Saccharomyces cerevisiae S288C: one gene and its partners. The gene in region 1 interacts genetically with each later gene. Each region holds a gene or a part of one and is shown in the gene's direction. Other genes may lie near its edges.

Region 1 (6,023 bases):
TCCAAGACAAAAGCAGCATTGATAAGTGCAGTGAATGATTCTGGAGGTAATGACAACAAAAGCCTCGATAAACGTTCAGATGAACTCCAGACTAAAGTAGCATTATTTTCAGGCATGGGTAAGTGTGCAATTGGACCAGTGGGTAAGAACCTCTGCCAGCCCCTTAGTTTAAAGGGAGGATACTCTAACTTCATGCTGGCCACAACACCATAGGCATTATACATCCAGCCCCTAGATGGGATCTGGGAAAATCTTCTGGTAGGAGAATTGAACCCGTCTGCACCCACTAGCAATCTCGTCTTGTATACTTCACCATTGGAAAGAGTGACTAAAGGCCAGGACAATGGATCATTAGGGTCGCTGTGTTTAATATTGACAACTTTTGTATTATCAATAATATCAATGGAGTCCTTCTTTGAATCGTACTGAGAAATTCTGTTGTATAAGGAGGCCTGTATATTTATAATTTCAATCATACAAAGCATGGAGTCCCTTGCCAGATCCAAAGTAGCCTTAGAACAACCGTCCGTGACATAGAGTCCGTCATAACTTTGAATCCTGTCATGCATCAAAGTTGCCCCAGCGTTATTCTCAAGAAAATGAATAGATCTAGGCGTAACACTGACAATCCTGTTCGTAAAATAATCTGGGGGTGAATTATAAAAGTCCGATAATTTATCTTTTAAGTCCACCATATCGACTAAAGTTGTCTTTAGATCTTTTAATTGCGGAGAATTCTTAATCGATGCAGCTAAAGTCAAACCTGCAGGACCCCCACCTACGATTAATACATCTGTTAACTTTGGAGCTGAAGATTTGGCTGTTGCCAAACCCCTCACCAAAATACGCCGAGTAAGCATAACTTTTGAAAAGAACATGCCTCTGTGTCAATCGATACAAGGTTCACTGAAAGACCAATTTGAGTTACTGAATGAAGAAAATTATCGCCACAATTATATTTATTCCTTTTTAATGTCGTATCACAATTCCAGAAGGGATATTTCTCAGAAACAGTTTAAGATCTGCGTGTTCCTTCTGCAAGAAGAAGGGAAAAAAAGAAAGGAGAAACAATAGCAGCATAAATCTTGTTCGATAAAACAACATCACTTTTTCTTGAAACTTCAAGGGTTTGCCTCCTTAGCTTAGTGGTAGAGCGTTGCACTTGTAATGCAAAGGTCGTTAGTTCAATTCTGACAGGTGGCAGTTTCCTTTTTATTTGTCAGTATTAATAATTGAGGCGCCCCTAATTTTTTTGGCACCGCTCTCGATGAAAAAGTAGAGACGTCAGAAATTGAACGTTTCCTCTAGGAGTTTATTAACTAATAACCCCGAAAAATGGCTCTTTAACCACGAGTGCCCACGGAGGTTATCTTCACCCCTATTTTCATTTTAAATTTTAGATCACTGCTAGGAGTTAGCTCAAATATATATATATATATATATATGGAGACAACGTTTGAAGAATTCGTAGGTGCAGGTGAGCATATTGCCGGATAAGTGTAGTTACGCAACTACAATTAAAAAAACACGAGGAACAGAATGTCAAAGGCAGTAGGTGATTTAGGCTTAGTTGGTTTAGCCGTGATGGGTCAAAATTTGATCTTAAACGCAGCGGATCACGGATTTACCGTGGTTGCTTATAATAGGACGCAATCAAAGGTAGATAGGTTTCTAGCTAATGAGGCAAAAGGAAAATCAATAATTGGTGCAACTTCAATTGAGGACTTGGTTGCGAAACTAAAGAAACCTAGAAAGATTATGCTTTTAATCAAAGCCGGTGCTCCGGTCGACACTTTAATAAAGGAACTTGTACCACATCTTGATAAAGGCGACATTATTATCGACGGTGGTAACTCACATTTCCCGGACACTAACAGACGCTACGAAGAGCTAACAAAGCAAGGAATTCTTTTTGTGGGCTCTGGTGTCTCAGGCGGTGAAGATGGTGCACGTTTTGGTCCATCTTTAATGCCTGGTGGGTCAGCAGAAGCATGGCCGCACATCAAGAACATCTTTCAATCTATTGCCGCCAAATCAAACGGTGAGCCATGCTGCGAATGGGTGGGGCCTGCCGGTTCTGGTCACTATGTGAAGATGGTACACAACGGTATCGAGTACGGTGATATGCAGTTGATTTGCGAGGCTTACGATATCATGAAACGAATTGGCCGGTTTACGGATAAAGAGATCAGTGAAGTATTTGACAAGTGGAACACTGGAGTTTTGGATTCTTTCTTGATTGAAATCACGAGGGACATTTTAAAATTCGATGACGTCGACGGTAAGCCATTGGTGGAAAAAATTATGGATACTGCCGGTCAAAAGGGTACTGGTAAATGGACTGCAATCAACGCCTTGGATTTAGGAATGCCAGTCACTTTAATTGGGGAGGCTGTTTTCGCTCGTTGTTTGTCAGCCATAAAGGACGAACGTAAAAGAGCTTCGAAACTTCTGGCAGGACCAACAGTACCAAAGGATGCAATACATGATAGAGAACAATTTGTGTATGATTTGGAACAAGCATTATACGCTTCAAAGATTATTTCATATGCTCAAGGTTTCATGCTGATCCGCGAAGCTGCCAGATCATACGGCTGGAAATTAAACAACCCAGCTATTGCTCTAATGTGGAGAGGTGGCTGTATAATCAGATCTGTGTTCTTAGCTGAGATTACGAAGGCTTATAGGGACGATCCAGATTTGGAAAATTTATTATTCAACGAGTTCTTCGCTTCTGCAGTTACTAAGGCCCAATCCGGTTGGAGAAGAACTATTGCCCTTGCTGCTACTTACGGTATTCCAACTCCAGCTTTCTCTACTGCTTTAGCGTTTTACGACGGCTATAGATCTGAGAGGCTACCAGCAAACTTGTTACAAGCGCAACGTGATTATTTTGGCGCTCATACATTTAGAATTTTACCTGAATGTGCTTCTGCCCATTTGCCAGTAGACAAGGATATTCATATCAATTGGACTGGGCACGGAGGTAATATATCTTCCTCAACCTACCAAGCTTAAGGAGTTAAAGGCAAAGTTTTCTTTTCTAGAGCCGTTCCCACAAATAATTATACGTATATGCTTCTTTTCGTTTACTATATATCTATATTTACAAGCCTTTATTCACTGATGCAATTTGTTTCCAAATACTTTTTTGGAGATCTCATAACTAGATATCATGATGGCGCAACTTGGGCGTATCTTAATTACTCTGGCTGCCAGGCCCGTGTAGAGGGCCGCAAGACCTTCTGTACGCCATATAGTCTCTAAGAACTTGAACATGTTTCTAGACCTATTGCCGCCTTTCGGATCGCTATTGTTCATCATGGATATTTGCCATCTCGTCTTACCGACATCAAAAGGGTGTGTGCATATAGCAGCTATCATCCCACTTATGCAACCACTGGCAAAACTGTTTATAAAATGGACCCAGTTTGCGTCCTTAGATGCAAATCGAGTAGAATCTAGCCATAGTCTTTCCTTGCAAAGTTCATAGGAACTCCAATATATTGCACTAAACGGAACGTCTCTCCACAGAGTGATCTCCAAACCTTTGAAGAGGGCCCGAGAAGGACCCACCATTTTCATTTCCTGCCTCGTTTCGTTTAATAAATCTTTAACCATCATCCATGTCTTTGTGGACTTTGATGATCTCGGTATACTTTGCAGTTTAGTTTTAACCAATTCTAAAGGTGCAATACTTGTTGCTGCAAATACCCTCGCAATTGCACCACAAAAGAGGGGGTTTAATGTTGGGTACGTCGAGGCTATAGGAGAAACGTCTCTTATATATTCATAACCACTAAAATAAACCATGTTGGCAGGAATAGCCATTAATAGGGTCAAAGAAATACCCCTCCACAAACTTGTAATACCTTCGACGCTGGCAATTTTCGTGAATGCTTCTAAAGTACCGTTGAACTTCAACGATGAATTTTTACAGTGCAGTTCTTGAAAACAAGCACTCTCCCAAAATATTTTTGCGTTGTTCAAGTTCTGTCCTCCGACGTTGGTGAATGTCTTCATTTTGGAGCCTGAGCTAACGGCGTTGGGCACTTCGGCAGCCCCATCACATGAACAGTCAGGAATCATCTGCTGCTGTTGCAGCCGTATTCTCACTACATCCATCGGTGTCAAAATCAAAGAAGTGAGTACTGATCCAGCACCGGCACTTAACATTCGTTCTTTTAAGGTCAGGCTGTTACTTGTATTGCGATCACTCATATCGTATTATCAACACCTCGTTTCCTTTCCTACGATACTTTATGGCTTTGGCTCATACGATTCCTGTGAAGTGAACTGGCACAAATATGAGGGTAGTGTGCCCCAATTCCAGAGGAGTGATCTTCCCGGAAATATGCAAAAATGACAGAATGTGTCTTATTCTCTAATTGCTATTCTGAGATCTTCAAGATGGCGAAAAATAACGTTGCGCGTGTTTGGGTGGGTGCCAAAAGTGTCATACCTCACCGACGCAAAGATACCAAAAGGACCGTATATATCTACTATTCCTGGATCGGTTGACTTTGTTAACATGCAGAAACAAAGGTAATGTTTATAAATAGTAAATCATACATAAGTATATGTTATTACATCTTTCTTTTCTTTAGTTTACCTGTTGCGGTTGAAATTCTCTTACTTGTATTGAGCTTCTTATCACCAGATATGTACTCCCTTGGAAAAAATTCATTAATCCTTTTTTGCTTCCCCTTCTTTTTGCGTTTATTAACATCTCTAATTAAGGGAATGAGAATTTCATCAGACTTTTCGTGTGGCCAACCTAGTTGAGTCTTCATGAATGAACGAAGCATATCGAGATCTGGTACCCCCCAAACAAACGGCGTGGTATCGTGATCGACTTCTGGTCTCATATACGCATCATAAACCATGACGCTAGGAAAATCATCATCTAAGATAATTTCGTTATTTACCAGTTTTTTTCTCAGGTCTTTTTCAAATTTATTTTCCGTTTCTTGCTTACGTTTATCAAACTGCCCATTATTATACCAGTCTTTAAAATTTTTTAGGTTTCCAAATTCTGCAATCACTTCAATGCTTGAAACGGGACCCATACCCTTCAATCCATTCGTGTAATCGCTCCCTAAAAGCTGTGCCAACTCAATCATATTCTTTCTATCCAAGCCCAATAATTTTAAAATAGATTCCGCATCATAAAATTCAACATAGTTCTTTTCGTGGAACATATTTTTGTAGATCTTTGTACCTCCAAATAGGAAAACATCACTGTCATCGGTAATTATACCATCGACAAGGTTTAGTTGTAACAATTCCGCACACTGTGCTTCAGCTTCCATAGGCGCAGTGATATAGGGGATTCCAAACCTCGATAGTAATTCTTGCACTTCTTTGATCATATCCATAGTTACCTCATCCGAATCTCTTTTATCCTTCATCTGTTGTTCGAATAATTCATCCTCCACAAAAGCGTTCTCGGCAACGTTTCTTTCAGCAGAAGTGGACAAAGTCGTGTTTTTAAATGTATCAAACTCTTCTTGTTCCTTTATCATATTTTCTACTATGTTATCTTCTTCATCTTCGGAGAAGTCATAGTCGAATATAAGAGGCTTTCTATGCTCCTTATTTATAGATTCGACTTTTCTACTATCGTTATCCTCTGCTTCTTTTGAAATCTGAGATTTAGTGGGAACGTCCTCAAATAGTTCTTCTGATAAAACTTCTAAGTCATCGTCCTTGTTTTCATCATTGGAGCTCTCTTTCTCGCTTTCTCTTTCTAATATTTCCGTAGCATTTAAGCCTGTCAAGAGTTCATAGCTACTCCCTTTATTGGTAGTTTCTGCTCCACTTTCTTGTTCATTTCTTACGTTTTTATCTTCCACGAAATTTGTTGTGTTATAGGGATTATACAACTGCTGGGAAGCAGTTGAAGAAAACCAGCTCGGCATTTCAGGAATTGGAGACTTTTCCTTCGTGGCTTCTTGGGACACATTACTCTCGGTATTCTTTTGAAAAAGCAGGGAATTTTCATTGTTAAAATCAAACTGTGG
Region 2 (5,402 bases), on another chromosome or scaffold:
AAAGGAATTATATAAACGTAAACATGAAAAATATTCATCGAATACTCCACATCGATCGTATTACAGTGTTTTAGTAAATGTTTGTATTTGAATCAAAGTTTCAGCATTTGTTCTACACTGATAAAATCATGGTTCTAGTATAGTGAAACATACGCCCAAGTTATCCTAGTACAAGACCGCCATATTGTGCTCATAATCGGGAACAATGAAAATAACACCCTAACAATTGCTGAAACTTGTCGTACGCGATCCCTAATTACATTATCAAGCATTCAGCATTGGTCAATACCTCAATACCTCGACAAGAAAAAAGAAATAGACACGTGTATGTCAAGGCATTAAGAAGGGTATCAGGCCTAGTGCTCGCCTCTTGCCTTCCCAATTTGTTGAACATCTTTGACATATAATTTGATTTTGAAATAGTTATTGGACTTCCATTTTAAATAAAGGCTCTATCATTAACTATACAGAATATACTAGTAACGTGAATACTAGTCGATAGACGATAAATTAATACTTTTTCCAATAAAATCTAAACGCATGCAAGTACATAAATAGGCGAAGGTATCTGACCGTAATAATCTTCACGCCATCTATATAAATAAATGAAAAATTCGGCTTTTAACTTATATATTAACAATAAGAAAGACAATGTTGCGCTGTGCTTACAGGAAGAATATTATAATTTTGACGAAAAGACCTTAATGAAATGCTTGAGGCTAATTAAAATATCAAAATTAGAACACGTAGCACTTTTCTTAAGTTCTGTTCCCAAAATTTCAAGGTCAAATGTGTTAACCTTTGGATGCACTTTCATAAAACTCCAAATATCCATCGCACTTAATAGGACGTCCCCTCCAAAAGCATCCACTGTATAATACTGTCTTGGATGGAAACCCTGCCTAATCACCATGCTCGCTGCCGCTGTTTCTATTGCATTAGTGTTTTCAGTAATGAAATTATTTGGCTCCTTTATTTCAGTCCCACTAAACTCCAAAAAGGTACTATCAAGTTCCCCATTAAAGTCACCAAACGTATGAATCTCACTCATTGCATCATTTAGAAAAGAATAGCCTGGTATGTCATTTGAGAGATTCGTACAGCCTATGGGATAGAAGGACCGATCAAAGGAATTCAACGGTGACGGCACTGTACAATTCTTTCCAACACACACTGAGAGCAGTTGCTTGAAAAATACGTAGCATTGTTGTATTTCAAGGGAATTATATGTGGAGGAAAGAACCACACTACCATCGAGAGTGTTACATGTGGGCGGTTTTTCTTCACAACAGGCCTTACTAATGTTCCGTTCATCAGAAGGCATGTTCCTCTCAGTCAAAAGACTCCTCAACATAAAATGGAGAAGTTCATTTTCCTTCTTTAATATGTGAATTTGATCATTTGTTACCGTTAGCTGAGCTTCTTTCTTCTCTAGTTCTTCTAATCTTTCCAACTTTCGTTTTCTAAATGCGTTTTGGGATGCTCTAAGTTGCGCAGCTCTCTTATTTTTAGGTGGAGTAAGTGAAGGCTTCCTGCCGCCTTTTCTTCCACGCGGTTTTGCCATTATCTTGGTCACTTATCTTCCGTTTTGACATGTTTTTTCAACGGCCGCTCCTTAAAGACCATCCGCATGCTAGAATTATATACTAATATGATTTTGTAAAGATAGGAATATTATAATTATAATTATATTTAATTTAATAAGAAAAGAAACGAAAAAAAAAAAAAAAATGGAATTAAAAAGTTTTGCCGTACATAAAATATTGAAAAGACTTTTACATTAATGCTGGAACAATAAAGCTTGAGGAGCTCAACCACTAACAATCAATTTAAGGTTACTCTCTCTACAATGGGTCTCCCAAGCGTAAAAACCTCCAACGAGGATGCAACTCTCAAACTTACTTGTAATATCTTCTTCTTGTAAGTAGGTTTCGAATTTAGCAGCTACTTTTGGTCCCCTATTCTTGGACCCAGTACAATGAAATATCACTTTGACGAATTGAGAACTTGAGAAAGTATCGGATAAACCTTTAATTAATTGATTCAGTTGCTTCTCTGTAATCTGTGCTGTTACTGGAACATGCCAAGCGTTTGTAATATGATCACGTGCAAAATCTTCTCTTCGAAGATCAACAACTTGAAAATCCTTCCTCTGATTTTCAATTAGGCCCTTGAGTTGCCTAGACGTTATGAAACTTACCATTACGCTTGCTGGATTGTCAAGTTTTCCTCAATATTAGTTTGTTATACATTAGTTTTTATACCGACTTTTCAAAAGTGTTGATTTAAAATCAAATTTTGAATGCTCTTAATTATCTTTTTGTTTGATTAATAATCAACTTTAGCGGCAACGCTCCTTACATAATTATAATGTAAACGGAAAAGAATATAAATGAATGCTCTCGTTGTAATTCAAGAGAACCCAACCAACAAATCATCAGGTTAGTAGAATAATGTCAGAAGATCAAAAAAGTGAAAATTCGGTACCTTCTAAGGTTAATATGGTGAATCGCACCGATATACTGACTACGATCAAGTCATTGTCATGGCTTGACTTGATGTTGCCATTTACTATAATTCTCTCCATAATCATTGCAGTAATAATTTCTGTCTATGTGCCTTCTTCCCGTCACACTTTTGACGCTGAAGGTCATCCCAATCTAATGGGAGTGTCCATTCCTTTGACTGTTGGTATGATTGTAATGATGATTCCCCCGATCTGCAAAGTTTCCTGGGAGTCTATTCACAAGTACTTCTACAGGAGCTATATAAGGAAGCAACTAGCCCTCTCGTTATTTTTGAATTGGGTCATCGGTCCTTTGTTGATGACAGCATTGGCGTGGATGGCGCTATTCGATTATAAGGAATACCGTCAAGGCATTATTATGATCGGAGTAGCTAGATGCATTGCCATGGTGCTAATTTGGAATCAGATTGCTGGAGGAGACAATGATCTCTGCGTCGTGCTTGTTATTACAAACTCGCTTTTACAGATGGTATTATATGCACCATTGCAGATATTTTACTGTTATGTTATTTCTCATGACCACCTGAATACTTCAAATAGGGTATTATTCGAAGAGGTTGCAAAGTCTGTCGGAGTTTTTCTCGGCATACCACTGGGAATTGGCATTATCATACGTTTGGGAAGTCTTACCATAGCTGGTAAAAGTAATTATGAAAAATACATTTTGAGATTTATTTCTCCATGGGCAATGATCGGATTTCATTACACTTTATTTGTTATTTTTATTAGTAGAGGTTATCAATTTATCCACGAAATTGGTTCTGCAATATTGTGCTTTGTCCCATTGGTGCTTTACTTCTTTATTGCATGGTTTTTGACCTTCGCATTAATGAGGTACTTATCAATATCTAGGAGTGATACACAAAGAGAATGTAGCTGTGACCAAGAACTACTTTTAAAGAGGGTCTGGGGAAGAAAGTCTTGTGAAGCTAGCTTTTCTATTACGATGACGCAATGTTTCACTATGGCTTCAAATAATTTTGAACTATCCCTGGCAATTGCTATTTCCTTATATGGTAACAATAGCAAGCAAGCAATAGCTGCAACATTTGGGCCGTTGCTAGAAGTTCCAATTTTATTGATTTTGGCAATAGTCGCGAGGATCCTTAAACCATATTATATATGGAACAATAGAAATTAATTGTTGACTCACCAAAAAATTACTTGGGCACCAATGAATAATACCACTTATAACTCTATATTAATCCAAGTTCACCCTAAAAACAGATAAAATTGACAATTTTTTTTGAAGGACAACTGATTGATCTTAGTGATGGTTAGGATGAAAAAATGGGTTTGTTCACGCCATCCCGCATCATTCAAAAACTCCGCACAGTTTTGGAGTTCAGTAAGAAGGGGACGTAATCTTACTATTGCATTTTTGAAAGTCTAATGAACTCAAGTGGCAAACTGTGTTACGTACATCACTTCTAAATACAATGTCTTTGAATTAGAAACTCGCTGAAAAATTATTATTGCGTATTGTATGTCATTTTTGAGATTTTCCTGCAAGATTAGTAATGCTTTAAACCCAAGTATTGTAAGCCCGATGGAATAGCACATGGTGATGGTACAACAATGGCTTCATAGATCATTCGCATAAAAATGGAATTCGTGCATCTAGTGTCTAATTAAAATTAACGTAACGAAATAGGACAAGATAAGCTTATGTCGTAGTACCCGCATAAGTACGTGTAGCTGCCATTTTATAATGCATGAAGTTGAAGTCATTAGGATGAAGAGGTGACATATAATGTTTCAAAATGGTGCCAGTATAAGTTTGGGATATCATGGAGCGGCATTCGTTTTAGTAAATGACTGTATTGTATAGTACTGTCTGTATGATTATCAGTTGAGTTGGTGAGATGAAGTAAAGATATTATAGCATCTGCGTTAATGTGTATTGCTATTATAGTATAGCATAGTGGTGTTATATAGTGGCACCGGGAATGAGTATAGGGAGTAAGAAGATCTTGTAGTTGCGTTTGAATAGCGACATGAGGACACGTCTTATGTCGCCATTATTAGGCTGAAATTGCAAGCATAAACTATTCGATATCAAAGATACCACAAGACCATGTATGCATAATTATAGAATACCAAGGTGGGGAGAGATTAAAAACGCACCATAGCAGCTGCGCGAGTATATTCTGCTATTAAATTGGAATTCACTGAAAGGTGATGAGAATGCAAATAGCTATGATACCTTATAGTGGTTAATTTGTATGAAAACGTTATAAAGCATGAAGTTGAGAGTATTGATATGATAATGGAGGTTCTGTGATCAATTTTAGAAAATTAAAATGTGGATGATCATGAATGTTATGGGTAAATGGCACAAGTAATAGACAATTTAATGAATAGGGTGTTATGTTTACGATATTTCAATTATGTTAATATTTAGTATGTTTATATCTTCTCATTAATGAATGGTTAATTTTTATGTTTAGGTGATTTTGGTGGTGATTTTGTGGTTATATTGACATAAGTGTGTATAAATTGAGTGGTTAGTATATGGTGCAGTTATACAATATTTGGAACCGCAAAATGAGATGTAGATATTAAAATGTGGATAATCATGGGCTTTATGGGTGAATGGCACAGGGTATAGACCGCTGAGGCAAGTGCCGTGCATAATGATGTGAGTGCATCTAGTACTGATTTAGTGAGAATGGGGCCATGGTGTGGAATATGAAAGTAGGGTAAGTTTGAGATGGTATATACTGTAGCATCCGTGTGCGTATGACATATCAGTAGAAGTGAAGGTGAGTGTGGCAAGTGGCGGTGGTGGTAGTGGTGGTATAGAGTGGTAGGCTCCTTTACTTCGAAGCGTGAGGTCGTATACCTAATAAGGAAATGTAATTTATAACTTTTT
Region 3 (4,935 bases), on another chromosome or scaffold:
GTAATAGGATCAATGAATATAAACATATAAAACGGAATGAGGAATAATCGTAATATTAGTATGTAGAAATATAGATTCCATTTTGAGGATTCCTATATCCTCGAGGAGAACTTCTAGTATATTCTGTATACCTAATATTATAGCCTTTATCAACAATGGAATCCCAACAATTATCTCAACATTCACCCATTTCTCACAAAGGATAAATCTCTTGGTTTGCGGGCCGCATACAAGATATGATTGTAGTTTTTTCAATGGCTCTACTGTCCCACTGCTGTACAACAGAAAATGAGAGATCAGAGAAATAGTATTCCGGAAGCCAGTGGTGTTTACTTATTAGTTTTTTGACGCCACTGCGCGAGTTGCTGCCTAGCTGTTCCTTGGCCAACGCATATTGGAACTTCATTCGACTGATATGCTTACTCAGAGGTCCATTACTTCAAGAATTGTCTCACCTATCGGGCTTGGCGTTTGTACAAGAAGAAACTTTCATCACCTTTGTTTCGCCACCAAATGAAAAAAAAAACTTGCATGGCTTAGGTGGTTCTTTGTCAGAAATATCTTCTAAGGATCAAGAGTCTTACGTGATTCTAATCCCTTGGCAAGTCAGATCTCAAATATGCTCACTCGCAGATGAGTAGCAATGAATGCGACCAAGTGACTAGTGACTGGTGACGACATGAGCCAAGCTGGAACCAGCAGCTTTCACGTCGGCTTATAGCTCTCTATGGGGCAATCAACCACTCATAGTGACTGAAGATCTTTTTAATATAATTACATTGCTAAAAACGTCATACCGCCTTGTGAGCACGATAAACAGCATATGCATTGAGCCTTGTTATTCTTCGGAACTGGGGATAGTAAAATGCGACCCGCTTAGGATGATCAAGCTATCTTTGGGACGGAGTTTTGTCATGGGAGTGGTCATCCTACTGGTGATGCTTCAACATTTGATTTACTAAATTTTGAAATCGGCCGCAGAATAAAACTATTATGTCCAAACAATTGATGGTCGAACCAACGTTAAGGGTTTCAAGTATTGAATTGAACTTTTATGAGTTCTATAATTTCGTTGCGCAAATTCAACTAAACCACCAATATCCCCCCTACAACGCTACACTTTATACCGATAGAGGAATAACGCATAGAGCCTTCGTAGAATTCTTCAACTCGTACGTGATGGGGATTCTAAACCTATCGTCATGTCGCTGTACAAGGCTGCTGCCTGCTTTCAAATTCCCAATTTTACCATGTCCGTTTCGCTGAGCCGAATCGTCACACAAGGTAATTAGTTCTGGGTATCGCTTCAGTATAGCACTGGTTTTTTCCTTGTAAAACCACAGTCTAACAATTAAATGAAGCTTTTCGAAGAAATTAGACCATGTTAGACTGAAAGCAAAGACTCCGGCCCGTTCTGAGGTAAGTTCAATGAAATTGGACAGTTTCTTTTCAAGGTTAGGTTTTGTGTTCGAAAAAAATAGATTACCGCACCTCCTTTCCAAACCCCATGAGTTTCCATTAAGGAAGAGCAACGTCAATAATACCACCTTTTGCAGATGTGATTCAACTCAAGATGCTGTAATCTTTCCCTTCTGACCCTAGATCACCTCATGATATCCTTTTGAGGCAATTAAAGCTGCAGTGTAAACTGTTGAATATCTTTTTGAAACCAAAAAAAAGGACGTTCCACACTTGGCTGCTTTCTTGATAAGCGAGATCTTTACTTGGAGATCTCGCTTAGTCCTCCGAAGGTAAACCCCGTCTCTTATCTTTAAAAAAATGTATCAGACCCTTCAGCACGTGACAGACAGCAAACTACCAGTCGACGAGGATGCTTTTCCGAAAGTCATGACACAAGGGAAGGACTGTAAGATCGATATCGGCGCAGTCTTATCGGATGTTCCAAGTCCTTGTCTCTTTCATTATCTGCTTGCTATCGCAAAAAAAAAAAAATCAATTTGTTTAATATCAACACATAATGTACAAGAACAAATCATGACATACAAAAGCCATATAAGATGAGTCTTCAAGCAGCACCAAGAGGCCTGAGGCAGAGCAAATGTTGGCTCGCTATTCTTTTGTAAGCAATCTGGTACTCACCAACCTCCAACTATGAGATCTTTAAATACCCTTTTACTTTCTCTCTTTGTCGCAATGTCCAGTGGTGCTCCACTACTAAAAATTCGTGAAGAGAAGAATTCTTCTTTGCCATCAATCAAAATTTTTGGTACCGGCGGTACTATCGCTTCCAAGGGTTCGACAAGTGCAACAACGGCGGGTTATAGCGTGGGATTAACCGTAAATGATTTAATAGAAGCCGTCCCATCTTTAGCTGAGAAGGCAAATCTGGACTATCTTCAAGTGTCTAACGTTGGTTCAAATTCTTTAAACTATACGCATCTGATCCCATTGTATCACGGTATCTCCGAGGCACTAGCCTCTGATGACTACGCTGGTGCGGTTGTCACTCATGGGACCGACACTATGGAGGAGACAGCTTTCTTCTTAGATTTGACCATAAATTCAGAGAAGCCAGTATGTATCGCAGGCGCTATGCGTCCAGCCACTGCCACGTCTGCTGATGGCCCAATGAATTTATATCAAGCAGTGTCTATTGCTGCTTCTGAGAAATCACTGGGTCGTGGCACGATGATCACTCTAAACGATCGTATTGCCTCTGGGTTTTGGACAACGAAAATGAATGCCAACTCTTTAGATACATTCAGAGCGGATGAACAGGGATATTTAGGTTACTTTTCAAATGATGACGTGGAGTTTTACTACCCACCAGTCAAGCCAAATGGATGGCAATTTTTTGACATTTCCAACCTCACAGACCCTTCGGAAATTCCAGAAGTCATTATTCTGTACTCCTATCAAGGCTTGAATCCTGAGCTAATAGTAAAGGCCGTCAAGGACCTGGGCGCAAAAGGTATCGTGTTGGCGGGTTCTGGAGCTGGTTCCTGGACTGCTACGGGTAGTATTGTAAACGAACAACTTTATGAAGAGTATGGTATACCAATTGTTCACAGCAGAAGAACAGCAGATGGTACAGTTCCTCCAGATGATGCCCCAGAGTACGCCATTGGATCTGGCTACCTAAACCCTCAAAAATCGCGTATTTTGCTACAATTATGTTTGTACTCCGGCTACGGCATGGATCAGATTAGGTCTGTTTTTTCTGGCGTCTACGGTGGTTAAAGCCTGATCAGTGACTTTTCATCACACTGTGTTTTTATATAGTTCTTAGTAGTAAATATACTCTATAATTTCTACATCCTTTTCATGATGTGCCAGTTAAGCTATTTTTAGCAAACAAAAAGATGAATTTGAGTATTGAGCACATCATTCACTGTTCAGCTGATACAAAACATATGATTTCTAATATTCACATAGGAAAAATCGCTCCAAACATCGAAGTATCATCGCTACTTTGGTCTTTTATCTGCTTCTCTTCTCTTCGCTCTTTTCACTGCTCGTGCCGCTGCAACGCTCCAACTCAGTTCTATCTCAGCTCCTTCCCCTTATCCCTTGAGCAGTGTCAAGGCGAGGCTGCGTGATGTATTCGTGCGCGAAAAAAAAAACAACTGCAGCACCTGAGTTTCGCGTATGGTCACCCACTACACTACTCGGTCAGGCTCTTACCAGCTTAACTACAGTTGATCGGACGGGAAACGGTGCTTTCTGGTAGATATGGCCGCAACCGAAATAGTTAGGTGTGGCAGCCGTACATATGGAAGCCGGGCGATGGCTCCGCCACGTGCAAAGTGCAGGAGCTTTGGAAAGAGCGTGCATATAGTGATGAAAACAGAGAGCACGGTTGCGAACGGAGGGTCTCACAATGTCTCAAAGGATAAATCTCTTGGTTTGCGGGCCGCATACAAGATATGATTGTAGTTTTTTCAATGGCTCTACTGTCCCACTGCTGTACAACAGAAAATGAGAGATCAGAGAAATAGTATTCCGGAAGCCAGTGGTGTTTACTTATTAGTTTTTTGACGCCACTGCGCGAGTTGCTGCCTAGCTGTTCCTTGGCCAACGCATATTGGAACTTCATTCGACTGATATGCTTACTCAGAGGTCCATTACTTCAAGAATTGTCTCACCTATCGGGATTGGCGTTTGTACAAGAAGAAACTTTCATCACCTTTGTTTCGCCACCAAATGAAAAAAAAAACTTGCATGGCTTAGGTGGTTCTTTGTCAGAAATATCTTCTAAGGATCAAGAGTCTTACGTGATTCTAATCCCTTGGCAAGTCAGATCTCAAATATGCTCACTCGCAGATGAGTAGCAATGAATGCGACCAAGTGACTAGTGACTGGTGACGACATGAGCCAAGCTGGAACCAGCAGCTTTCACGTCGGCTTATAGCTCTCTATGGGGCAATCAACCACTCATAGTGACTGAAGATCTTTTTAATATAATTACATTGCTAAAAACGTCATACCGCCTTGTGAGCACGATAAACAGCATATGCATTGAGCCTTGTTATTCTTCGGAACTGGGGATAGTAAAATGCGACCCGCTTAGGATGATCAAGCTATCTTTGGGACGGAGTTTTGTCATGGGAGTGGTCATCCTACTGGTGATGCTTCAACATTTGATTTACTAAATTTTGAAATCGGCCGCAGAATAAAACTATTATGTCCAAACAATTGATGGTCGAACCAACGTTAAGGGTTTCAAGTATTGAATTGAACTTTTATGAGTTCTATAATTTCGTTGCGCAAATTCAACTAAACCACCAATATCCCCCCTACAACGCTACACTTTATACCGATAGAGGAATAACGCATAGAGCCTTCGTAGAATTCTTCAACTCGTACGTGATGGGGATTCTAAACCTATCGTCATGTCGCTGTACAAGGCTGCTGCCTGCTTTCAAATTCCCAATTTTACCATGTCCGTTTCGCTGAGCCGAATCGTCACACAAG

The links.
Region 2: mutations in GND2 (region 1) and ARR3 together harm fitness more than expected from each alone (negative genetic interaction), as found in Saccharomyces cerevisiae (one large-scale study listed by BioGRID).
Region 3: mutations in GND2 (region 1) and ASP3-2 together harm fitness less than expected from each alone (positive genetic interaction), as found in Saccharomyces cerevisiae (one large-scale study listed by BioGRID).

Annotation. Positions count from the first base shown.
Region 1 is NC_001139.9:1,003,085-1,009,107, forward strand, and holds GND2 (phosphogluconate dehydrogenase (decarboxylating) GND2), read left to right. Parts: upstream 1-1,539; coding exon 1,540-3,018; downstream 3,019-6,023. Other genes in the region: putative N,N-dimethylaniline monooxygenase COQ6, read right to left, coding at 1-878; MTM1 (Mtm1p), read right to left, coding at 3,121-4,221; ssDNA endodeoxyribonuclease RAD2, read right to left, coding at 4,587-6,023. UniProt on the Saccharomyces cerevisiae protein: Catalyzes the oxidative decarboxylation of 6-phosphogluconate to ribulose 5-phosphate and CO(2), with concomitant reduction of NADP to NADPH.
Region 2 is NC_001148.4:937,469-942,870, forward strand, and holds ARR3 (Arr3p), read left to right. Parts: upstream 1-2,453; coding exon 2,454-3,668; downstream 3,669-5,402. Other genes in the region: ARR1 (Arr1p), read right to left, coding at 680-1,564; ARR2 (Arr2p), read right to left, coding at 1,811-2,203.
Region 3 is NC_001144.5:471,235-476,169, reverse strand, and holds ASP3-2 (asparaginase ASP3-2), read left to right. Parts: upstream 1-2,112; coding exon 2,113-3,201; downstream 3,202-4,935. Other genes in the region: YLR157W-D (uncharacterized protein), read right to left, coding at 194-406; YLR156C-A (uncharacterized protein), read left to right, coding at 3,560-3,691; YLR156W (uncharacterized protein), read right to left, coding at 3,713-4,057.